2 linked regions of the Schizosaccharomyces pombe genome follow. The protein of the gene in region 2 purifies or fractionates together with the protein of the main gene of each other region. This does not show direct contact. Each region holds a gene or a part of one and is shown on either strand. Other genes may lie near its edges. The genes, in order: smd2 and ctr1.

Region 1 (12,183 bases), 2.4 Mb from region 2:
TTCATCGTTTATTGGAACGTAGCCTTAAGAACACATCCCCGGGTATTGACAAAAAAAATTGTTCGTTAGTGGCTGCACATTGTAATGAAAAGAAGGAGAAATCCACCACTGTGCAAGAAGATAGCCAGCAACTCTTTTTGTCTGTATATATTGCTGAGTATTGCAAAAAGCATGATAAGAAATCTATGCCAGTTCAAGCATTTGCGACTAGAATATCTGGAAATTCTATTGATGTCTATATCTCTGAATATGGAATATCCAACAGAGTAGACCTCAGTTCAGATGATAGAATTAAAAGTTTTATAGTTGCTCCCGATGACTCCTCTGTTAAAATTACGTTGTTTGATGATTCTCAAAAGACTATAGCTCTTACGGATCGTTTCCAAGTTTATTTATATTCTGATTACAGTCGTACATTTTTCAGTATTCGCTGTAGTCTAGTTTCTTTGAATTAAAGGCCTAGTGTTGTTTATGAATTTTTGACTGAAATATAACTTTGTTAATTTTGGGTCAGATTACCTTTTATTTATGATGCATGCCACCTATTGAATGGTTGTTCACGTTTATCCTACACATTTTAAAACGCTTATTATTATTACTATTATGTTTCATGGATTATGACAATTGAATGACTTTGTTATGCCCAGACGACTTATGTTTGATATATTTTTCTCATTCGTGAGAGAAACACAATTAAAATAAAAAATTTAACATCAATAAGAAATTTCTTTAGTTAACAAATTCACTTTGGCTGCAATTGTTGAATATTTTATTTATACCTATACATACAAGTAACAATAGACATTGTGACCTGAGTAAGGTACTCAGTTTTGTGCAGCAGCTTTTCCACTACTCATACCGAGGAGGATCTTGCCTCGATATGGATTTTTATAATCATGCTGCCAACATACTTTCAGATTTAAGTAAAAAAAAAGGATCAATTAAGCAATTAGCATTTAATTCAAAAAAACATGATCCAAAACGCACTTATGCTTTGGTTTGCGAAACTCTCAAATGTAAACAAGAATAGTAAAACTTTAATATAAACGATTTGACTAACTTTCTTCTTTTATATAGATAAACCTGTTTTGGATGAAATAATTGCGCGATCCGAGTTATTAGTTTTAGAGAAAAAGGTACAAATTAATGAAACGATAGTTGTTTCGTAATTTTTTGAAGCTAACCTGGTTATTGTAGTTAAAAGAAAATTTGGCTAGAGTCCTTGTCCATGATTTACTGATGTCAAAGCGAGGGTTATCCATTTCAAATGGTCCTATCAAGGAATGCATTCTTCGTCACAAGACACGCCTGAACGCCGAGTTTGTCAAACTCAAGGTGAAAAAAGGGGTTAAGAGCCATGAGGAGCTGGCATTGAAAAATCCTGTGTCGCTCCCTCGCTGGCTTCGAATAAATACCATTAAAAGCACAAAAGACGAGGTTTTGCAAGGTTTAGGCTTGGATAAAGTCAGTTCAATTGAGGAACTGGGCCCCGACAAATTTTATATTGATGATTGTGTTGAAAACTTAATAGCCATCGATCCATCATTTCCTATAGTTGAAAATTCATTGTACAAGGAGGGGAAAGTGATTATTCAGGACAAGGCATCTTGTTTTCCTGCTGCTGTATTGGCCGGGCTAACTGGTCACGTTGGTGATATAATAGATGGATGTGCTGCTCCAGGGAACAAAACTACTCATTTAGCTGCTTGTTTTCCAAAATCTCATATATTTGCATTTGAACGTGACGCGAAAAGAGTGCAGACACTTCGAAAAATGGTGGGAATATCAGGCGCTAATAATGTCACCATCGAACATCAAGATTTTACCCTAACTGATCCCAAGAGTGATCTTTACCGAAATGTCACTCATATCCTGCTTGATCCTTCTTGTTCTGGTTCTGGAATTGTGAGTCGTCAAGACTATCTGCTGGGTAATGAACAAGACGTTACGGAAGATACCGAAAGACTTGAAAATTTGTGTAGTTTTCAGTCTACCATTTTAAAGCATGCTTTACAATTTCCTAACTGCCGCCATGTCACATATTCTACATGTTCAGTGCACCGTTTAGAAAACGAACAAGTAGTATGTGAGGTTTTGTCGCAAGAACCTGACTGGAAATGTAACTCTTTGACAAAAACTCTACCCAACTGGAAAACTCGAGGAATTCCAGAGTATTGTGCTCAACCTTCAATGGCTGAAGGAATGATTCGGTGTAAACCAGGAGCCGGAGGTACTATTGGTTTTTTTGTAGCCAATTTGTATCACCCTCAAAGAGAGCAAGAAACTTTCAAAATGTATAAAAATGATGATGATACCAAAAAGCGTAAGCGCAAAAAGAAAAAGAAGGAAGTGAAGAAAAAGGCTCGCATACAAGGTGAAGAGTAAATTCATCAAAGCATTAAGACAAATTATCGCATAGCACTTATTCAACAAAGTGAGAGAAGCTATCGTTGTATGATCTCAATTTCTATAGACAATTTTTTGTGTTTTTGGAAAACACACATATTTAATTTTTTTTTCTTTACGGCTTTGGTTAAGGACTGGATACTAAAAAAAAATACACATCTTACGGGGACTAATCGGAAATGGATATTAAGTAGGCAAGATAAGTAATCATTAAATTTGAGCATTAACTAAATGAGCCTGAGGAAATGATGAAATTGTATTTAAAGGGATTACTAAGTCTTTTTCGCTAACCTAACAACTATATGGTAAGAGTAAGAACAACATTAGCATGTGAACAACTACGATTAGCCAAATCATTATCTTAACAATTTCAAAAACAGTAAGGCTTCTCAAACAATGTTGTATTGCTCAATCATGAAAAAAAGAAGAAACGACCGTTGTGTTTATACTTCCATGCACATCCTGCGAAGGTGAATCCCATCGCTATCGCACTGCCCAAGACCCGGTAGTGATGTGCATTGTTTCCAACCTCCATCGGTACTACACGGTTTAACTGCCAGTTGCCACGAAGACTACTCTTCGAACAGACGTGGCAGATCGAGGGATCGAAAGCGAGACTCGAACCCGAGACCACCGAACATGCACTATTGGGAGTACTAAACACTTCGACCAAGCCATTACAGCGAATACATATATGTATTAATAAATTATATAGAAAATAAATAAGTTAATTCGCATAAACAAAAGTTTCAACTTTTCATTGCAAACCCTTTAAAGCTTTTCATCGCGTGCACGCATATTATAAAAAAATATGATCTTATTTCTTTGTAAATAATAAAAATTCTCTCAGCTTTTATATAGTTGCGAAGAAGCATTTACTATTGCACAAATAGCCTTTCAAAATTCGAGTTGCCATGGTGTGAAAAACATGACCAACAGAGATTTTTGTATTAAGTTCATTGCTTATCCCTCTACCTTTCTTCAGAAATAACATTCACTCACATTCTGATAGTGCAAACAACCAACATTATAACTCAATGAATTAAACGAAATATAATAAGCTAAGCAACACGTAGTCAATTAAAAAAAATAAAAAAGTGCTATGAATGAAATCCTTTATTTTACAAACCTCTAAATGATGCTAAAGAAAAGCAATGACAAAAGTCAGAGCTACAGCCTCTCAAAGGTGAACACGTGGAGAACAAAATAAAACTACACTATTGCAGAAAACGACGGTATCACATCCAACTTACATTACAACATATCATAGGCAAACACTATAAGTACAAATATGACCTCGTGTGGTTTTATTTGCACATTAAACTCACTATTCCCTAGCTCGGCAGCAATTAAAGATTTTATTCATAGCAACAGGTCAGATGCTGCAAGTAGGAGTTGCATAGGAAATTGAAGGCGAAAGACTCTCTAGGAGTGAAAACATAAACCCCGTTAAACGAGATCCCACGAGTAGAAAGAAATGGGATTGACGAACAATTAACAAGAGATAAAAACAAGTATTGAAGTAGCTACACAATATACATTGCCAAGACAAATGCACTAGCTAAAAGCGAAACTTTTTGCATCTGGATGGCTTTAAATAGTTTTGACCAAGACGAAAAACATTTAGGAAAAGAAAACAAAACTTTTGAGTAGCAACGCAAAAATTGCTTTAAAACTATTGACTTTGAAACTGATCACTAAAAGAGGAGGGAAAATAAATCACACAAACTTAACGATACAATTACTCGTCCACAAGTCTACTGACGAAGAGGAAGAGGTATACGAAGAAAAATACAGCAAAACATGCCAGCTTGAAAAAGGATCGTTTTTGTCTAGAGGATACGTCTTTGAAGATGGTTGTAGAGTCGTGCATATGAGTGTTGGACATAATCATTTTGGCGTTCCAAGCCAACATGGGTACATTGAGAAGGAAGGTGATCCAAGCACCTGACAATAATAGAAGAAGGGCACTGAAAGCTTGAAAACCCATTTCTGGTAGTACATACCAGTTCAGTTTTCGAGACACTAAATAGGGAAAAAGATTAGTATATATACGAATCAGAGACATTTATCATTAATATATATCGTTAGAATGTGATTATTTTAACATACAATCAATGGGATTTATGAAATCGTCTTTCAAATCAGAGTACATCACTGTAAAGTACATCTGAAGCATGATATTTGCACATGTAAGCATAAGGCTGGTAAAATAAATCCAAGCAGACACCATTTTGGATGTTTAGACACTTATTTTGAGTTTTCAAACTTTTCTTTTCGATGGGTGTAATAAGATAACTTGTCACAACTCATTGATGGTAAAATGAGCGAACGAATCGTAACGACCACAAGTTCGAATCGCACTGTTGACATGAATCTTTACCAAATGGTAAGGGAACTCGAAAAATCTGGAAGTTTGGTTTTTATGTTTACTAATCAATTAGTACGTTAGTATATTTTTTATTTTTTATTTTAAAGAATGGGCTTCGATTGAATGATCGTAAAAAAAAGTGAATTCAAGAGTTCTATGCTAATATAAATCAAAGAGACGCATGCATGGACTATGAAACGTAAACACTTCAAGTAGAAGTAATCATTGTGTTATATTCTTTAGCTTTAAAACCGCTTTAGTTAATAAAATATATAGTCTGGGTTGAAAACATTTACAATTATTCACACTGTATAGAATTAAATAATTTTACGATAATTCGATCCTTAAATATCATCATCAACTTGTTCCTCTTAGTTGTAGAAACAATTCTTATGCGTTTTTTTCGTAAACAGTCGTCAAATATTAAACTATTTTTGTTTTGCAATAATTCAGCCAACATTCAATTGGCTTCTACAATGAACATTCATTCTTAAATTAAAATTTTCTAGAAGAATAGTATGAAGGTTTTTAGCTGTTAGGATACACAATTCAATTTGTTATATTGCTAGTGTACCACTTAGTGCACATCTCAATCATTTATAATGCTTCGTTCTTTCTCTATACTACACAAGTTACCATTGACTCGAGTGTTAATCAAATTGCAATTGTATATACGAAAAATATAAGCATAAAGGTGAGGCTCTGGAGAAACAAAAAGCTATTGTGACATTTTTTTGGAATACAAATAATTTTGAAAGTTTTTGGGAATTTCGCAAGGATTTCGAACCCTTATATAAGAATCGAATTACAGTCATTTAACTATTGATCATTTGGTACTTTTTTACTCTTTGGTTTTATTTAAATCTTTCAAAAGGATGACGGGCGCAACGTTAACTGTTCGAGTAATTCGCAACTTTGAATATCGGACACTGAAAAACGTCGTTTTCCACGACATAGATCTGGCCACTACGACTGTAGACCAGTTCAAAAAAATCATCGATGAACGCATACAAACGGATCCCTCATTGAAAATCTACCGTACTACCCATTTTGACACGTTGAAGATTTATGTGAAAGCCCAGCAGCACAAAACCCAAAACTTGGCTATTAATTTAGACCACGATGATTGGATTCTTAATGATGGAGCCAAAACATTGTCTCTTTGTGGAATTGAAAATGAAACTGAGTTGTCCTACTTTGAACTTGCTGCCTACAAGGCCTATCAAGCAAATCCTGTACAAAAATGGCTTTAGACATGCATAACTTTATTAAGAGTTCAATTGTTGGTGTTAGGAATAGGAGATGAGTTTACCTTTGTTATTTAAATTGAATATTTTTCAAACTACGCTAAAAAATTCCTGATGTCTTTATTAGTGCAACTATTTAAAATTACCTAGGTCGCTGTTGCAATTCATGTATTGACAATAGCAGAATGCATTGTAGTGAGCAAAAGTATGTAGAATAATAAATGATACAAAACAATACGCATTTTAAACCAAATGTTGTAAACATCGACTTTATGACTTGGTACCAATAGCACCAAGGACGTCCCTATCTACATATTTATATAAGAACAAAACATTTCTCATTCATCAAAACGCTACACCAATACTTAATAAAAAGTTATTTTAAAAACAAGCAAAAAAAGAGTTGCGCGGCCAGGTTTCGATCCTGGGACCTACGGGTTATGAGCCCGTCGGAGTTCCACTCTCCTACCGCGCACAAATACCGTCACCAGCAGGATTTGAACCTGCGCGGGCAAAGCCCATTAGATGACTAGAATACAGGATTCAAGTCTAACTCCTTAACCACTCGGACATAGTGACTTTAGCTGTACATTTATCATGAAATGTAATTTATATAGCCAAAATCAAAAATTTCTATGTAATTTTTGATAGGAAGTTTCCAATGCTCAAATGGTTGATTTCACAAAAGCATTGCTTTATGTTAAGAAAATATTGTTTTTGGTGTTAGAATATATTTTTTTTATTATCAAAGTAAACTCCTAAAACTACAAGCTTGTCTATTCAGCTTAATTTCCATAAGTAGCTAGTGTTCATCCTTCAATTCAATGACTTTGCATTTGAAAGGATAGTTAGTTTATGAGACCTTAGGGATTTTGTGATTAAGTAGTCCAATTATACTTCTAATGTTATAATCAATAAACAATTACAATGCATTCAGTTTTTTATATCCCACATTGAAAGTTGTCAGGTATGAGTTAAAGTGTGTGATTAAAAGATTTTTTTTAATTAATAATAAGATATAGTAAAATATTGAACCGAAATTGATTTTCAACATTTCGCTTCTAACTTGAAATCCATTTTGTGCAATCTTGAACTTGCTCGTTAAATAGCACTTGTCCTTGACCCCCAAGAGACTTAAAATTCTACCATTTTTGATATTCCTAGCTTGTATCGTTCTAATGGCGTATGTCTTTTGTCCTTTTATCTAAAATTTTTTGATTTCTTTTTTCTAATAATTTAGCGATTTGGTTGATAAACCTAGAAGTGAACTGAGCGAAATAGAACTCGCTCGTCTAGAAGAATATGAATTCTCTGCTGGTCCATTAAGTGTTTTACAACAAGGTATACTATATGATAGAATGTCAATTTTAAATTTACATACTAATGGCTCTTCTGTTTTAGCGGTAAAAAATCATGATCAAGTTCTTATTAATTGTCGAAACAATAAAAAGTTGCTTGCTAGAGTAAAGGCATTTGATCGCCATTCCAACATGGTATTAGAAAATGTCAAAGAGGTAATAATTTTTTTCATCTTTTAGTCTCTCTTTCCATCCACACTTGCTAATATATTCTTAGATGTGGACCGAAAAAAAACGAACAGCTTCTGGCAAAAAAGGAAAGGCTATCAACAAAGATAGATTTATTAGCAAAATGTTTCTTCGTGGTGATGGTGTCGTTCTTGTTGTCCGTATTCCCTCTGCATAATATACCCCATTTTCCTACCTAATGGATACTTAAGTTAGAAACGACTTCAAAATATCCCGATGTGCTTACAAAAAACTATTTTATACGTGTGTTAACTTTATTATTAATTAAAGATATCTTTATTTGAAAATAAAAAAGGCTCCATCTGTAGTGTCTCTCTAGTTGTGCCTTGAATGTCTTTCGTAAAAAAAAGCGAATGAATTGCAGAAAGCTTTCAGATGTAGCACCCATCTTTCCTAAGAGATTTATTATATAAAAAAAAGAATGGTTATGACACAAAAATCATATTATTTTCATTACAAATATACAATGCTAGCATATTCATTACTGTGTAAGTGCATCATGGACTCCATGCTTCAATACATCCTCAATCTTCCAACGAGGAGGTTTAAACCAACCTTGATTTTTCTTCATCTTTTCAACGTTAGTCTTACCCACATCTTCACCAGCTGCACCGGTGGAAAATTTCAACTGAAGCTTCTCACCAACTTCATCACAAGCTCTCAAAAAATAATCCATGTCGGCTTTATTGTGACTAGCGGAGAAACAAAACCTCACTCTAGAGGTCAACAAAGGACAGGCAGGATACCCAACAACAACAACGGCAATTCCACGCTTCAACATCTCATGAGAGAACGCATTGATTTTGCCAGGATTATACAAAAGCAACGGGACAACTGGACTATCATCGTTTCCAAAAATAATAAAGCCAAGTCGCTTCAACCCCAAGCGTATATAGCGGCTATTAAATGCCAGGCGTTCGATCCTTTCTAAACCAGCCGAAGTTGGAGAGTTATCCATAATTTCAAGAAAGCTCGACTTGATCTGTGCAAGGACAGCAGGGCTCATGGATTCAGCATATACATAGCCTGGATTTGTAACACGTAGCTTATTGATAATATTGGGAGTAGCGCTGATATATCCGCCTGCAGCACCAAACGATTTTGTAAAAGTTCCCATCAAAATGTCTACGTGGTCAGTAGAAATGCCGAAGTAATCACAGATACCACCTCCACGAGGTCCAATAGCACCAATTGAATGAGCTTCATCAATGAACAGATAAAATTTGTAGCGATTTTTCAACTCGACAACCTTAGGAAGGTCGCAGAAGTTACCTTCCATGGAATAGAGACCTTCGATGACAACCAGAATTTTAGAGTAAGGACGATGTGTACGTGGTTGACCTTGAGAGATTACTTCGCGCAAAACACGCTCTAAATCAGTCATATCATTATGCTTGTACACACGAATGTTTGCACCAGAGAGACGGGCACCGAAACGAATGGAAGTGTGATTTAACTCATCTGAAATAATGAGAGATCCGGGGCACATAAGGGTGGAGAAAACAGTAGCATTAGTGCTAAATCCTTGAGAAAAGACCAAAGCAGCAGGTTTACCAACAAAATTTGCCGTTAATTCTTCAACTTCTTTATGCAACCCATAAGTACCACAAATGGCATTTGAGCTGCACGTAGACAAACCATATTTTTGCATCGCTTCTTCAACCTTCGTGGCACAAGGACCATGACTTTGGGCAAAACCAAGGTAGTTGTATGAAGAAACGTTTAAGGCTAAAGATGTATCACCAGTTAGTTTAAAAGTACTATTGCTATCAGTGGAATAGCGATTCATGAGACGAATGACACGACCGGGAACACCCATGGTAGGTCGGCTGAAACAGTCGTTAATACGATGCTGAAGACGACGTACATAGAAGTTATCAAAATGATTGTAAAGGGGAGCATAACCATCATTGTCTTTGAGATACTTATAGTCATCCTTATGAAATCTTTTACCGAAAAAGTCGCGAACATGCCCTATAATGATAAGCACCAGATAGGTTAAATAAGTTGCGACCACATAGTAATATGAAGGCTCATCTTCGAATTGAAAAAGCTCGGCGCCATCAGGATTTTTGGAAACCCGACGATGAGTAGGATCGGTGATGGGAGCAAACTCATTCTCCAACAAATGCTCAGAGTTTAGCTTTTCAGCAGCAACTTCCTCAGCCTCGAGTTTTGCACTTTCCGTAGACAGGGGAGGGTTTTCGACATGATCAACCTTCTTATGAAACTCAACTTCCTTTTTCTCACTTACATCAATAGATGTAGGGGAAACAAAGTCCGCTTGAGCCATTTTTGGTTAAGTGAAACGAAGTCCAAGTGCGATTATTAAAGCCTGAATTTTTTGAGATGCGAGATACAACAAAAATCTGTTTGCGATAAGTTAATCTGAAGGTAATGCAAACGAAATAAACCAAATAAAAGAAAGCGCTGTTTTCAGAACACTAGATAAGTCTCTAATGACAAGCGTAGGCGAATTATTTGAAGCACTGCTTATCAATCTTTTCCTGAGACACCCCAGCAATCCACTCAAATGAATTCTAATGAATGTTTTTAATTAATTAACAAAAGGAAGTTAATCTAACCCTTTTTCGTCAAGAGAATCAAGTCTTGTAGAAAAGTGCAGTGGCAGGTATACGCAAAAGAAACGTTTCACCCTACTCTCTTTGGTTGCGGCATTTCCCCTATAACGAACCGCAGCGAATTTTGCTGTAATACAAAATTCCTTCAAATATACAATTCCTTAGATTAAGAAAAAAACGATCAAATTTTTATTGTAGACGGATGTGCTGCCAAGGTACGATTGCCACCATTGAATTCCGTTACAAGTAAAAAAAAAAGGGTTTAGGCTAGACGAAATTTCTTACTTAATTGAATTGCGATTAATAGTACTAGTACCACAACATAAACATACAATTGACATGTGTTCTTACTATTTACACTGAGTGGGAGAATGCGCAAATTAGCTTTGAGTTAGATGTAGAATAAAAATGAATAATTGATAGAAAGAATAAATAAAAGAAGAGAAATCTGCAAACTTTTTCAATTTATGAATTTTCACTTGGCGTAGACGATAACTCATCTAACCAGATACTGGTGTTCAGCTGAATAGGTATTCCATTACATGCCAAGTCGCTTTTGAGATATTGTAGACGGACCAAAGCAAGCCCGACTTTTCCTAAAATTGCAATAATTTTACCAGGCGATCGACGAGAGACCGGCTCTCCTTGCTTTGCGACAATTGAAAGCGGCGCCGAAGGTTCAATAACTTGAGATGGATTGTCTTCGTAGTTCGGAATAATAAATGGGAAAATCCTTTTTCTTGTTACCCCAGTATAGTAGGTGCGGACAGTGAGCTCTTGACCCAAATAGCAGCCCTTGTGGAAATCGATCCCCTTCATCCAATCCATGTTGCTTTCCAGAGGAAATGAAATACTAGGAATAATCTCTTGAGGCCCTTCTGGTATTCCATTTCGGTATCTAAAGACTTTGTAATCATCTAGCGAGCCGGAGGAAGAAGAAGTGCATGTAGAAGTAGGAACTATCATTCGTAGCAAACGCTGTTTGGAAAAGCGAGGATCTTTTGCGTAAGCGACAGTATCTTTTAACCTACTTTCTTCCTTTACGTCCCAAATTACTTTGATAGATAATTCTTCAGATGGTATCTTTGCTATACTACACCGGGATCGCAGGTTGTATTTCTTCAGGTGTTTTAAAAAATCGGATTCTGCAACCTTGTCAATTTCAACGTACAATTCATCAGATCGTTCATTTTCCGTGCCATTATTGGAGACTTTTGGATATATAAAGGAATCAAATAATACTCGCCCCTAGTAAGTTAGAATACATCGCGCATCATTAAACCCAACACCGCAAGCTCCTTACCTGTGTATTTAAGAAGCCCGTGTATACAGGATTATCTAAAGTTATTTTGTTGGTCGTTAAGCCCTGAAGAAACTTGACTGCATCAACTCCTTCAACACGAATGAGAGATTTCGATGAATTTAGACAAACGCTGTAATTTCTAAATAGCTGGAATGAGAACTTTATAAACTTGCTCCTAACGGTGAACCTATTCATTGCCCATAGGTAAAGTACTTGAATTCACTTGGTTTCCTGAGGCTAGAATAGGACTCTTTTACAGTAAACCGAATTTCTAAAATCGATAAGTGGTTGAGATGATGATTTCGCATCACATTGTTTTTGTTACTTTTCGGGGGAATCCAAGGAGGATATGGCAAAATTATTAGTGTATATTATAAAGATATATATTATTATTTGTTTGCAATACAGTAATATCACTGTAGGAAAAAAACCTAAGGTCAAAACATACTGAAGATGAATTTTCTTCGATGAGGAACAAAATTTCCCTTTTCTTAAAAAAATAATATTTAATTCTGGTGTTTATTACTAGAATCGCTCTTAAATTATTACAGGTTTTAGATCATAAGCTGACATCAAGCGTAAAGCTTGTGATGCAAAATTTTATTTCAGCTTCGAACATCAGTTCTATAATTTAAAAAAAAAAAAATTGAATATCGAGTAACAGCTTTCTATTTTGTGTCTTAAAAAAAAAGAGATTGCAAGTTTTCTCCGATATATCCGAAGCATC
Region 2 (13,283 bases):
TCGGATTAAGCAAGAGAGGAAAATGGTCAAGGAACAAAAATGTGATATATGACCAATTTTTTTTAAGAGAAAGAAAGATGGGAAGATACACGTATTCCAGTTCACAACACGATACAAAAAAAATAGTGAGAAGGAAGAGATAGGTGATTATAAAAAAGAAAAGGAAGAGGAAAAACCTATTTACACATTTAAAGTGGTAGAAAGCCAAAAATAAAAGTTAAGGTGCAAAGAAAAAAAAAGGAACAAAGCAATTAAAAAACAATAGTAAATGTAGCGTAAGCAATGAAAACAGATTTACAAAGCGAAAGATTTGGAATCCGACGCGATTTTTAGTTCGATCCCAATAGATTATTCAACCAAATTGAGAGTGTTGAATGAAGAGACGAAAATATACAAAAAAGAAAAAAAAAGTAAGCGACACGTTTATCTTCGTAGACTATTGATTTTTCAAACAGAAATTAGGAATTGAGGGTTAAAAAATAAAATGTTTTTCAGAGAACAAGGGGAAACAAACAATCGCGAGTATGTTGTAATGAATATTCCTATTCAAAAAATGGAAAAAATGAGTTATGAATTCAAATAATTGTTGCTACGCTTTTCAAATCGTTAACTGCGCTACAATGCCAAAAGACTTACGGCAAAGCCTAGCAAAAGATATAGCAAAAGAGGGAACGACAATGGAACAAAAATGGGTGATTGGGAGTTGACACAAAAAGAAAAAATTCAAACTTTGTAGACAAAGATTGATTCACAGACAGATAGATAAGTAGAATATTTTTTTAGCAGAAAATAAATATATATGGCTTACATGGAAGAAAGCAAAGGATGAAAGATGAAAAGGGGAAAAAAGAAAAAAGCGGAAAAAAAAAGAGTAGAACAGACGAGCTCGTAACTAGCTGATTAGCCAAGTTCGTAACGAAACAAAAATAATAATTGTAATAAAAAATTTTTCAAACCAAGATTGGACGACGATTTGAGGGGATCGATTAGCAACAAAGTTTAATGGAGAAGGAGAAGAAGAAGAAGAAGAATACAAGGCCTTATAAAGAGGGATTCGTTGAAAGAGGACTGTCAGTGAAAGAAAAAAAAACCAAATCACAATATATGCTGGAAAAGAAAAAGCGATAGGGCCATAGGTAACAAGCGACAAAAAAGACCAAAGTTGTAAGGGATGGATGGAAGCAAGGGGGAAGTAGAGCAAAGAAAGAAAACCAATATCTCGGGCCAAAAACAAACTAAAAGGCAACCAGTTTATAGTGAGATTGAAATGGATGATGTTAATACACGATGAATCGACAATACACAAATCACGATCCGGTAAAGAAAAAAATGGAATGGAAAGAGTTGATCAATGGGGTGTATGTAGTGTAGTGTATGGCTAATGTAACTAACTAGATAGATGTACGTATCTAATGTATGGAATGATGGAAATCAAGGATGGATGTAGGGTATGGGAATGAAGATGGAAAGAGGAAGAAGGAAGAAGGAATAAGAGAGTAGTAATGTTGAATTTGGTAAAGGATAAATTCAATTTTCTTCATGCTCCACCTGCATTAACGCAAATACGCATTTTATTAACAACACCAGTAATGTCCACTCTAAACAAATAACAATCAATGCACCTACGTAATAATAAATAACCTCGCTTAAACAGTATCAAAAACAACCACCAATGATAAGGGTGGTAGCATTCCTTTTCATAGTCTATGACTGATGATGACTTTTCATTGGCCAAGAAAAGGCCTCGGCTACCACGCTCCTGATAAAAGGACGAGTGATTGCTATTTTATCTAAGATAAGGCCCCTAATGCTTGGAGACCGATGTTATCATAGATAGACGATGTGGACGATTTTAGAAACGAATTAGGAGGAGAGAGCGGGATCTGGCCAATGTGTTGACAACGGATGATGTAGAAGCTCCGGGTAATGGAAGGATAATTTGATAACTAGGTTGCAGGTAATACGTAGGGGCGACGGGGAGAGAGTGTAAGCATACAAAGGATGTGAGAGAGAGCATAGAGAGTAAGTAGTTGTACTATGAGATTGGAGGGGTAGGAGAGGGACAAAGTAAGATGCAAGCGCATGTAAACAAACAAAGGAACTAATCAAAAGAATAAAAAAAAGGTAAGGAAAGAAAGAGAAAAATGAAAATGAAAATGAAGAAAACAAAAAAGAAAAGAAAGAAAAAAAGAGATGTAGAGGTATATAAATGAAGGAATGAATGACTGAAGGAATATGGACGCATGAGATATATATTTTATCCAAACATTCTAAATATACTCTTTAATACCTTTAAAAAAAATCAATATGAGATTTCTTTTTTTCTTACCTCCCTCCTTCATCACTTCTTTTCTTTACCTTGCTCTCTATTCCTTTCCTGTACCATACTGCATTATTTAACAACTACATTAATAAATCGCGCTTTAAAATATCAACCTGTTTTTATACCGACTTGTTTCTCTTTGGCATAAGCGTTATAGTTATTGCCAATATTCAAATCAATAGCGACAACGCCAAATAAAGACAGACGTGGTCTTTTCGCACTTATGGGTGGACGCAGCTTTTGCTAAAAGAGTCGCTGCACCCCATCTACCCCCCCCCCAAAAAAAAAGAAAAAAAAAATACAAAATAAAATAAAGGAAAACACATTTATTCTTGCTAAAAGTAAACACTTAAATTTTTAGAACTTAAGCAATTCTTGTAGAAATTTTCCCCGACCTAGCTGTTTTTGCTTTATAGTTTCGCTTCATAGTTCGCTTTACTTCCTTTTCATCTTTGTCTCCACTGGGCTTAACTGTACATACCTTTTAGCTGCAAACATACCACGTTTCAATCGAGGCAAAATAGAACGAGAAAATGGCCTAGCAAAACATTCACTTTATCTGTCTAACGAGTGCGCTGAAAAAAAAAAAAGAGCACATTCGGACGAGCAAATTAGGACATTCAACTTTTACTTAGCAATCATGCAAACTTGATTAAAAATTTACAAAAACAGCCAACTCTGGACCTTAGTAAAAAATTTCAAAACTTTTTACTTCATGAAACCCTGAGTTTTATCACTTCGCCCCCTGCGACATTTTCCTGTTTACAGCCAGACATTCTGCTGTTTGAGCAACTTCCTTGTAAACGCATCATACTATCCAAGTGCTACTTTAAATTTTTTCCGTGATCTACATTTATCTGCTGCGCACATTTCACAGGCAAAATCCCTTATGTAGCAGGCATTTCTCTTTGTTGTTCTTGAATTTAGTCAAGCCCCGCAATTTCGAGTGTGGAGACACAAGACCTCATTAGCTTTCAATGCTAACGCATTTTGTGCATATCCGTTATATTACGCTGTTTTCTAATTAAAACTTTTAAATAACGATATGGTAACGGCTTATTACGCCGTATGCGTTATACGCGGTTGGTAAAAAAAATTGCATAGTATATCGTGTCGTAATACATTTTGCACTCCAACACAATTTCACTGGGTTTGGCTGTATAATCAAATGTATGTCATTGCCGAAAACATCAAGAAACGAGTAGAGAATGATGATGGTACGATTAATATAAAAAAAATTTCAAAACGATAGAAGAGGGTTGAAAACGAAAAATAAGTTATACTAATGGAAAAAGCGCACTGAAAGGTATAAACATTAAACAACTTTCGCTTATTTTTCTAATAAACAGACCATTTTTTCTTTTTTGCAGACCTTATTCTTTCGCACTAATATTTAAACAAAAATTTTGTATTTCAACTAGCAAAAATTTCGATAAACAACCAATCAGTTCCGTTTTTTTTATTCTTCTTGCTGAAGTTTGGTTTTTTATGTGTTTACAATTTTCAGCAAAATAACGCACACCACTACACTTCGTAAAGCACCGCTCGGGAATGCTGAGATTGCCCTGAATTCGACAGCGGAATTCAGTTTTACCTTATTATCTACCGCCATTGATTTACTGAAATTCAAATTACAACCCATACAAATCAATATCTTCTAGTGATCCAATATTAAAAACGAGAATAGTAACTTTAATAATATTCTCAATTGTTTTTACAAACGTACACGGTCGGTTATAACTGCTGTTTTGAAAGTCTGAGTCATATTCCTCTGTTTCCTAATTATCATTTTCCGCATTTCAAAACGTATCTTTTAGTTTTGTATATATACTTAGTTATGTTGCTTGAAGAAATTTTGTCTTTCCTTATCAAATTTGTGGTTATTTCCGCATTCACCATTGCGTTTCTTCTGATTTTGCCAACGTTGAGTGCTATTGTCTTGGACATTGTGGTATGCGGATACCTTGCTTTGTACCGACTTTATGAAATTGGAGGCGGTTGCATCCAAAAGCCTTCAAAAGCCGTTCACCCAAAGTCCTCTTAATTCCGTTACAGTCTTAGCTGGCTTTCGAGTTTTGATTCTTTTTTTAATAGATTGTCCTTCTGTTTTTTGTTTTTAAAACATATAAGTTGTTTTCTCCTCTTAATATCCTCAGAACGTTTCTTTGCTTTGATATATTTGGCCGTCCAGTTTATTTTTTTTCCTTTTTCTGCCGCCAATTAAAAAATTTATAAAAGAATGCTTAAGTAAAGCTGACCATCCAACTGGTTATTATTTTTCACTTGCTTGTATACTCTTGCTAATATGTTTTGTGCTTTTTTCCCTATCCTTTCTCCCTTATTAATTTTATAAATACGCAACAAAAAAATGGTTCTCCAAAATACATAATTTAATATTTCACATTCATACTGATTGTGAATTCAATAATCAGAAATAAATAATTCGTTAAAATAAAACAAAAAAGAAGAAAACTACTGCTGTTTTTGGTGATTTCGTGTTCCTTTTTTCCTACAGTACTATTACATTTCTCTGTTTTCGCTAAGAAGCTTTTGTTTATGAGTCGTTATCATTACGTTTTCATTTCATTAGTTTCTACCTCAATTATTAGAAAAATGTTCAGACATCCATCTCTCCCCCAACTTTATTGCATAGTCTCGCTCAAGAAATTTCCGCCGTTCTTCAAGTTTTTTGTCTCGTAAGGTTAACACATCTTCTGTGTTTTTTCTCTGCTGTTGTGTAACCTTAGCATGAATCTCCTTTAAAGATAGAAGTTGCTCTTCTCTTTCTTTTTCGTCAAAAGAAAACTGGTAAAATGCCGTACCTTTATTCCTTACTTCCTTAGTCGAGTCATAATGAACTGCTTGCTGCTCATCTTCCTTCCACAATTTTTGAACCTTTTCTTCGTCTACTTCGAAGGATGGCATATAGTCACCGTATATTGGCTTTTCGGGCTTGTACTCCTCCTTTTGTGAAAGTAGGGTATTACCGGTCTCGTAAATAGAGACACTCCTGGTTCGCCCAAATTCATCCGTTATTTCAACTGTTTCATTTTCGGGTGCTTCCTCAGCCCATTTGCGTGTGAAGTCGACAAGGATTCCATCATCTTCTGTCTCCTTTATTTCCAGTTCTCCGGCAGCATACTGGTCGTATTTTTTAGCTTTTCGTTCCAGTTCCAGACGACTTCTTTGCAACAGCTCTTCCTCATTAGCTTGTTCAGTTTTTAAAGTTCCTTTTCTTTCCTCGTCCTTTCTTTTTTTGATAATATTACTTTGAAATTCCTTGTTGGATTTTCTTTTTTGTTTTACCAGTAATTTCCTTTTGGTCGTCTCGTTATCATTGGCTTCCAATAATTTATCGGTATACTTTTGATGGCTAATCTTGCGCTTCTCGTCCTCGTATCGCTTTTTTTCCTCAATTAGTTCATTAAGGAAGTTAAGATTGCTTTTAGCTGAGACTTGAATTTCGGATTTCTTTCCAACATTCATCTACTCGATACTTCAATTTTTTTAATTAATTTAATAATTATTTTCAATTCTTTTAAATTATTGAGAATGTGTAAATATATCAAAACATTCAAGTTATTGCAGAAAGCCGTAGTTTGCTTACTCCTGTACAAAAATAACAGGTCCAAAAGAACAGCAATTACTTTCTTCAATTCAATTATGCTTCTACAATACACTTAACCCAGTAAAACAATTACCAATTTATTTTCGTCGTTTTGGAGTTGTAAGGTGTCTTTTCCTCACCTGGGTTATTTCGCCATAGGCGCTGCGTTTCGCTATGCTAATCACAACTTCCAATCCAGTTACTTGATTTCTATCTTTACCCAGCACGACTTGTTCAATAGTACAAGTTATGAACGTTATTGATGATTGACTATTCTTTTCCACATAACGTTTTAGCCTTCATAGAGGAAAAATACTTATACACGTAAATTTTTTAATCGTTTGTGTTTACAATTAAAAGTGAATACACATTATAGCTTTAAATGTTCTTTTGATCGTGTTTATTGCATTGAGCCTGACAGTAACTTAAGATTATTGAAAAAATCATCCGAATAATTCTTATTGCTCAATACTGACTCAGAAGCGACTTCTGCACGATCTAGCTTTCAAAATATTGTCGCATAGTTTGACGTATTTGTATAAAAATATTTGAAAACATTAAATTACATACACAAGTAATATCTATTATGTGATTGGGAATTATAATTTCTTATACTTATTGTTTATGCAATTGGGGGAAGTACGAACTCACCAACGGGTCATTAATATATGTTAGAACTTTATCCTCATCACAATAAGAAGAAGCAACTAATTAAAGGATTTCATATCCAGCTATATTACAAAAGTAACTATATTAAAATACAATGCTATTCATCTTTAACTTCTTCATAAAAGGTGGGTAGCACAGCAAGCACAGTGTCTAATATAGTCAGTCCATTATCCAAAAAAGTGAACGATCCCTCTAAGTGAGTGCCATCAACAGTGTTGTTCAGTAAATCAGATTCCAAAATTACTTCTAGTCTTTCCTTATTTGTATCTTGAGAATATTTAGATCCGGGTGGATCCCAAACGATAAACACTGCTTTGCATAAAGATTGGTTTGAAAAATTCAATAGCGTTTTAGAAACTAACTTGACTGTTAAGTACTCTTGTTCAACGACTTTCCCAGTCAAATATCGTGGACCAAGAGTTCTCTGGATGTAGTCGCGCGCTTGCTGTGTAGAAAATCTACTAATTCCATCAGGCTCAAATAGTTCATCATTTGGCATGAATTTGGTATTATTGGATTCAATGAAATTGACTGAACTATCACTTGTCCTATCACTTTGCGATTTGTCCCATAAGCCTTTATAATTGTCAACATGTATACTAGCCAATGCCCGCTGCAATCTACCGGGAAGTTTAGTTGATAGCCTCTTATTAGAAATTAATTCAGTTTCTGCTTGCTCTGCTAATAAACATGCGTCACGAATATTATCTTCGAATTCTGGTGCAACATTGTTATGCAAAACACTTAGCAGAAAATTTCTAACAATTTGACAAGCTATTTGCAAATCCTCTTCCTTAGTTAGTCCAGCGTTATACAAAATGTGTGACGACCTTAAATTGATTAGCTAAAATACAACGTGAATTAAATTCAATGGAAACATAAATGACTCACAGAAATACTCCAGCAACCCACTTAAAATCAATATCATATTCATCAAGTATATCGTATTCAATATAATCAGTCGTGGTTTGAGCGGAAACTTCTCGTGCCTTCGCATCGTTATTAATATCAGTACCCCCTGTAAACTGTTTTTGGCCCGTAGAAACGCCTCCTAAATCTAGATACATTGTAAACAGTCTTATTCTTGTAGGGTCGCTCCATTTTCTGCGTGATCGATATCTTTGAATAAATCGCTCCATTCGCCTAATTTGTCAGCAAAGTCCTTAACATCTGTTTACTAACACAGTCAATGGTATGTTCCTAGAAGTGTTAGTAAGACACAATATTTTGTATTCTCACCTGCTGTATAATGTCTCATTTTCCAATTTCTCTTCAGCTGTCAGTTCGGGTTCTTGAAAATAAGGCTCCCATCCAGACAATCCCTAATATTTATTAGACGGGTTTTCTAAAGCTTAAGAAATACCCTCTTTTTTCTTCTATTACCGAGACTTTTTCCTGTACGTTTTTTAAAAGTAGTAAATTCCACGCTATCGCCAATACAACCTGTACTGTCATTTTTAAAATCACCTTCTGCCATCACTCAATCACTTCATCTGGACTGGAAAGTCAGTACACTAGTCGTATAGTTGATTTACTAGTTTATCAGTGTGGTAAGGGGAATCTAAGGAACCAAATTTACAGTGTTGTATTAGAAGCTTTGTTCATAGAGTTAAGTAGACAGTTCCTTTGCCGGATTTAGTAACGCTGGATATATTATTCTACAACCGTTTTTTGAATATGCCAGAACTCATCACTACTGTTACAATTGAATTTAGCTATATTATAATTTGATATACAAAAATATTTTTTTTTAATTTGCTTAAAATAATCGCAACCAAAGTGTAAGTAAACATGCTTGTATTAATTTAAAAGTTGAAATAGAAGCGTATTTGTAATGTAGAATCAATGATACCTTCTATTGATGCTTACCTAATTTAATAGACGAGACATTACAAGTTGAAGATATAAGACAATATGACAATGGCTCGACTACATTCTTCATTTATGATTACGGGTAAGACCACAATCAAAGTTCAACAAAAAATCATTAATTTAAAGTGCCGTATGGAAAAGCCCAAAAAGGAACACAAAACGGTCTTCATTTACTAGCTATTAGAAAGTGATCAACGATGATTGTGAGTAACATGGATTGATTAGATGAACAAGAACAAAACTAAATAAGATTCTATTTTATATTAAAACCTATCTAAAGCTATGTCAAAAGCTTCTATGGAACGTATAAAGGAAAGGTGAATACATGAACTAAACCGTAGAACAACGCCAACCATCACTGCTTTGAAATTGTAAAACCAACGGGCCCATATTTATTATCTTTATAAAGTCAATAAAACCAAACCAAACCCAAATTCATTCCATAACAAACCCAAACAAGTCATTTGTATTTGAATACTTCAACCCAATTAAATCAAATCCACAGCCCAACATTTATTAAAACCCTTTATGCCAAAAAGTTTCCCAAAAACCCAAACTCATATATTAATTTGCTAAGGTATTTACATTTAACCCATAAAAATGAACTCAATATAGTTAAAAGCCAGTATACTTAGTCAAAAGTGACTTTGTTCCCAGAAAATGGAGCAACCGAGCCACGGTTGGGGTTTCCAGAGCGAGCACCACCTCTACCGCGACCACGTCCGCCACCAAATCCACCACGGCCACCGAATCCACCACGACCGCCAAATCCACCGCGACCACCACGGCTACCTCCACCAGTACGAGGAGTTGAAAAGTCCAAACGACATGGGCGACCAGCAATAAAATGACCGTTCATTTCCACACATTTCTTGGCAGAGTCAATATCAGAGAAAGTAACATAACCGAAACCCTTAAGACGTCCTGACTGAGGATCTGTGGGCAAACGAATGGATTGAATGTCACCGCAACCGCCAAAAGCCGTACTGAGATCATCTTCAGTTGCGTTAAAAGACAAATTTCCAACAAATACGGTATCACTAGGTTCAGATAATTGGTCTCCAAAATTACCCGCACGTTGTTGAGCATATGGTTGAGGGTTGGCTGGGCGAGGATTAGAGAGATCTAAGTTGACCATACGACCATCAATTTCCTTGGTACCATTAGCGGCAACAGCAGCCTTAGCAGCCTCAGGGGTCTCAAAATCAACGTAGCCGTAACCCTTTGAGCGACCGCTTTGGCCATCCATAATAACACGTGCACCAACAATTGTACCGTACTCTTCAAATTCCTGCCCTAACCACTGATCATCTACGTTCCAAGAAAGACGACCGACGAAAACAGTGCAAGTCTCGTTAGAATCTTGAGAAGGCTTGGTAATCTTAGCAGGTCTTTCTTCAGAAGCAGGCTCGGCTTTACGTTTCTTCTCGTCTTCAGAGCTGGATTCGGATTCAGAATCAGAGGAAGAGTCGCTGTCTCCAGATTCTGAGGAGGAATCTGACGAGGATTCGGAGTCAGAAGAAGACTCGCTGGAGCCTTCTTTCTTCTCTTCAGTCTTCTCGACCACCTCTTCTTCTTCCTCAGATTCAGATGAGGAAGATTCGGATTCAGATTCAGATGAGGAAGACTCGGAAGAAGAGTCACTAGAGCTCTCCTTCTTTTCTTCAATTTTTACAACAGCCTCTTCTTCCTCTTCAGACTCAGAGGAGGAAGATGATTCGCTGGAACTCTCCTTCTTCTCTTCAGTTTTCACAATCACTTCTTCTTCAGACTCAGACGAAGAGGATTCAGATGAAGATGATTCGGACTCTGAAGAACTAGATTCGGATTCTGAAGAGGAAGACTCGGATTCTGATGAGCTAGATTCAGACTCGGATTCTGAGGAGCTTTCTTCCTTCTTCTTAGATTTCTTTTGCTTTTTTACTGATTTCTTTGAAGGTTCGGGACTAGAAGCACGCTTAGCCTCCTTTTTAGATTTTTTAGGGGAGACATCGGTTTTAGAGCTTTGCTTTGCAATCTCTTTAGCAGCCTCCTTAGTAATCTTCTTGGACTTGGAAGGTTTCTCAATGGCACCCTTCTTTGATGCAGTCTCCTTCACTGATTTCTTAACGGAGGTTTTATCCTTTTTTGCCATTATATTCACAACCTATACCAAAAGCCCGTTTAAAAGAATTTGGGAGTTTTTTAGTTTGACTGCTGGTACGGCGCGACAAGCTGCTATATATAGCCAAAAAAATTTTTACCGATGATATATGTACCTGAAGCCGTATACTAGTATAGCAAATTTTCTAGACGTATTCGTTAAACTACTAATATAGAAGCTTGTTCAACTACTACTATTTTTTATAAAAGCGAGTTTAACTAATTACGCTATCAAGTAATAGCTATCTGCGCTATTCAACAACAAACCAGCAAAGTAAAATATTCGCCATTAATATTTAAAAAATGAGTGTGTCTGAAGGCTTATAACATGTCTTAAAGGTAAAAAGCATATTGAAATTTAATAAATTGTTGAATCAGTGAAACGAAGGAGTTAGGTTTAGTCTTGCGTAGTATTATCTGGAGTGGTGAATATGTAAATTCTTATGAACGATAACATCTTATCCAAGTTATTTGTGTTCGTCAAATATTATAAACTAAAAAGTGGCCGTGAAAATGTACATTGTTGATCCATTGAAATTTTAAAATCATGTTATAGTAACAAAAAATTTCGACCAGCCTATGGAGAATACCATGGTTTAATCGTCATATTAAGATTTATTTTTCTTTCATTATTGTGTACATGATTTCCGTTTTTATGTGATACTTTAATTAAATAAAAGATGCCTCATTTACTTATCTCAAGTTTTACAAAGCAATTACCTTAAAGGGCTCTCAATATGCTAAAAAGTTTTCAACTCTTTAACCAAAGAAGCAGCTGCTATGTTAAATGCAGTAACTAGCCACAAATAAACAGTGAAAAAAGTGGTTTAGATAATTTTCAAATACATGCTTAATTATTTCATCTGATGTAACAGCGTAAAAAATCACAATCAAACAATTCAATTGTGCACAAGTTACCACGAAATAGCATATTTTCTTTAAAATAGAAAAGTTTACCATTTCCCGAAATTATTAATGGTAAACTAGATTTAGATATTGCAAATAAAAATAAAGGGTTCATTAACGGGAACAACGCAAAAGTAATGGTCAGATCGAGAAAGTAATGTAGCATAGATGACAGCTAAACACAGAGCTACGCAAGTAAAAAAAATCGTAGAAGAGAAACATAAAATAGGTTAAGTAACAACGGGGGTTCCTCTTTAACAAGAAATATTGGAATCATCAGATGCGAAAGAAAAGACAAAAAGAAGCGTAAATCTTGTTTAAGCAGTAGCCATCAAAGCCTTTACCTTGGCAATGGCAAGGCCAGGGTTCAAACCCTTGGGACAAGTACGAGCGCAATTCATAATGGTATGGCAACGATAGACAGACATAGAGTTCTGCATGACATCCAAACGTTTAGCAGTAGCTTGATCACGAGAATCGATGATCCAACGATAAGCCTGCATCAAAACTGCTGGGCCAAGATACTCTTCTGAGTTCCACCAGTAAGATGGACAAGAGGTAGAACAACAGGCACACAAAATACATTCATACAAACCGTCAAGCTTGGCACGGTCAGCGCGAGATTGGTAAAACTCCTTGTCTTTAGGGATGTTATCGTTTTGCAACCAGGGTTCAATACTCTTATATTGCTTATAAAAGTAGGTTAGGTCAGGTACGAGATCCTTTACGATGAAGCAATGAGGTAAGGGGTAAATTTTAGTAGGTTTGTTATCTTTTTTAATGTTACAGATGCAAGCCAAAGTATTACTGCCATTAATATTCATCGCACAAGACCCGCAAATACCTTCTCTGCATGAGCGACGGAACGTTAAGGTAGGATCTTGCTCATTTTTGATTTTAATAAGCGCATCCAAAACCATTGGTCCGCATTTTGTTAAGTCGACTGTATACTTTTGAAGCTTTGGCTTTACTTCTGGTTTCTCTGGGTTCCAGCGATAAATCTCGAAAGTTTTTAAATTTTCACCCTGTGACTGAGGATTAGCAGAAGTGGCAGATATGTTGGCCTCTGTAGCCATCATACGGGCATTTCTGTTAACAAAATGCTTCAAAAACGGGCTCAAAACTTGAATTCGACGGCTGAACATCTCGATATGTTTTGATTTTTAATATTGGCAGTTGGTAAGACTGGTAAAGGCGAGCGTTGTGGTTGGCTATTATAGATGGAAACAGAATCAATTTTATTGGCGGCAGAAAAATACATTAAATTTTTCACTCATATCCAAAATAAAACTTTTAAATATTTTTGTGTATTAAATTTAACAGTTTCTTCAAAAAAAAATCCCCCGTACATCTAAAACATGTATGGGGATCGCGTGTTTACTGGCCTGTCGTAGACAGCGTTAAATTATTTACGCGATAGGAAGTTGGCTAACGTATTACTCGCTTAAGTGCAGTTAGTCAAGATGGTCAAAGCGGTTTATCCAAACAAATTTAGTTAATTAATGTTTAAATACGCATACTTCGAGTTTTAATATTACTTCCGTAAAATAAATATTCAAAAAAAAAACCTATTTATTTGGTAGAACTGTATGACTTTAATCTCGTCTCTTTTCATATAAGGTGCTATTAACTGATTAATAAACCGGTAACCTAATAACCCTTGAGCCGAATTACTGCCAAATTTACAAAACAATCATGTAGATTAGAGTGAAAGGATAGACAGTATGAAAATATTAGAGTCATATTAAAAAATAAATACTTTCT

The links.
Region 1: the proteins of ctr1 (region 2) and smd2 purify together in Schizosaccharomyces pombe (affinity purification with mass spectrometry, with the first as the bait; one study listed by BioGRID). This does not show direct contact.

Annotation. Positions count from the first base shown.
Region 1 is NC_003424.3:4,259,569-4,271,751, reverse strand, and holds smd2 (Sm snRNP core protein Smd2), read left to right. Parts: upstream 1-7,160; 5' UTR 7,161-7,202; coding exon 7,203-7,207; exon of another isoform or gene 7,208-7,264; coding exon 7,265-7,365; exon of another isoform or gene 7,366-7,392; intron 7,393-7,425; coding exon 7,426-7,538; intron 7,539-7,599; coding exon 7,600-7,728; 3' UTR 7,729-7,799; downstream 7,800-12,183. Other genes in the region: 3'-5'-exoribonuclease Dis32, read left to right, coding at 1-455; rcm1 (rRNA methyltransferase), read left to right, coding at 881-1,016, 1,078-1,136, 1,198-2,385; cor1 (cornichon family protein), read right to left, coding at 4,148-4,431, 4,519-4,639; protein aim29, read left to right, coding at 5,653-6,030; serine palmitoyltransferase Lcb2, read right to left, coding at 8,053-9,864; iba57 (iron-sulfur cluster biogenesis IBA57-like protein), read right to left, coding at 10,619-11,401, 11,457-11,651. UniProt on the Schizosaccharomyces pombe protein: Plays a role in pre-mRNA splicing as a core component of the spliceosomal U1, U2, U4 and U5 small nuclear ribonucleoproteins (snRNPs), the building blocks of the spliceosome.
Region 2 is NC_003424.3:1,894,845-1,908,127, reverse strand, and holds ctr1 (protein ctr1), read right to left. Parts: upstream 6,053-13,283; 5' UTR 5,810-6,052; coding exon 4,922-5,809; 3' UTR 4,287-4,921; downstream 1-4,286. Other genes in the region: SPOM_SPAC110.06 (uncharacterized protein), read left to right, coding at 2,308-2,400; arb1 (argonaute inhibitor protein 1), read right to left, coding at 6,697-7,429, 7,491-7,742, 7,782-7,799, 7,839-7,921, 7,963-8,076; gar2 (nucleolin), read right to left, coding at 9,103-10,605; sdh2 (succinate dehydrogenase iron-sulfur subunit protein), read right to left, coding at 11,837-12,664.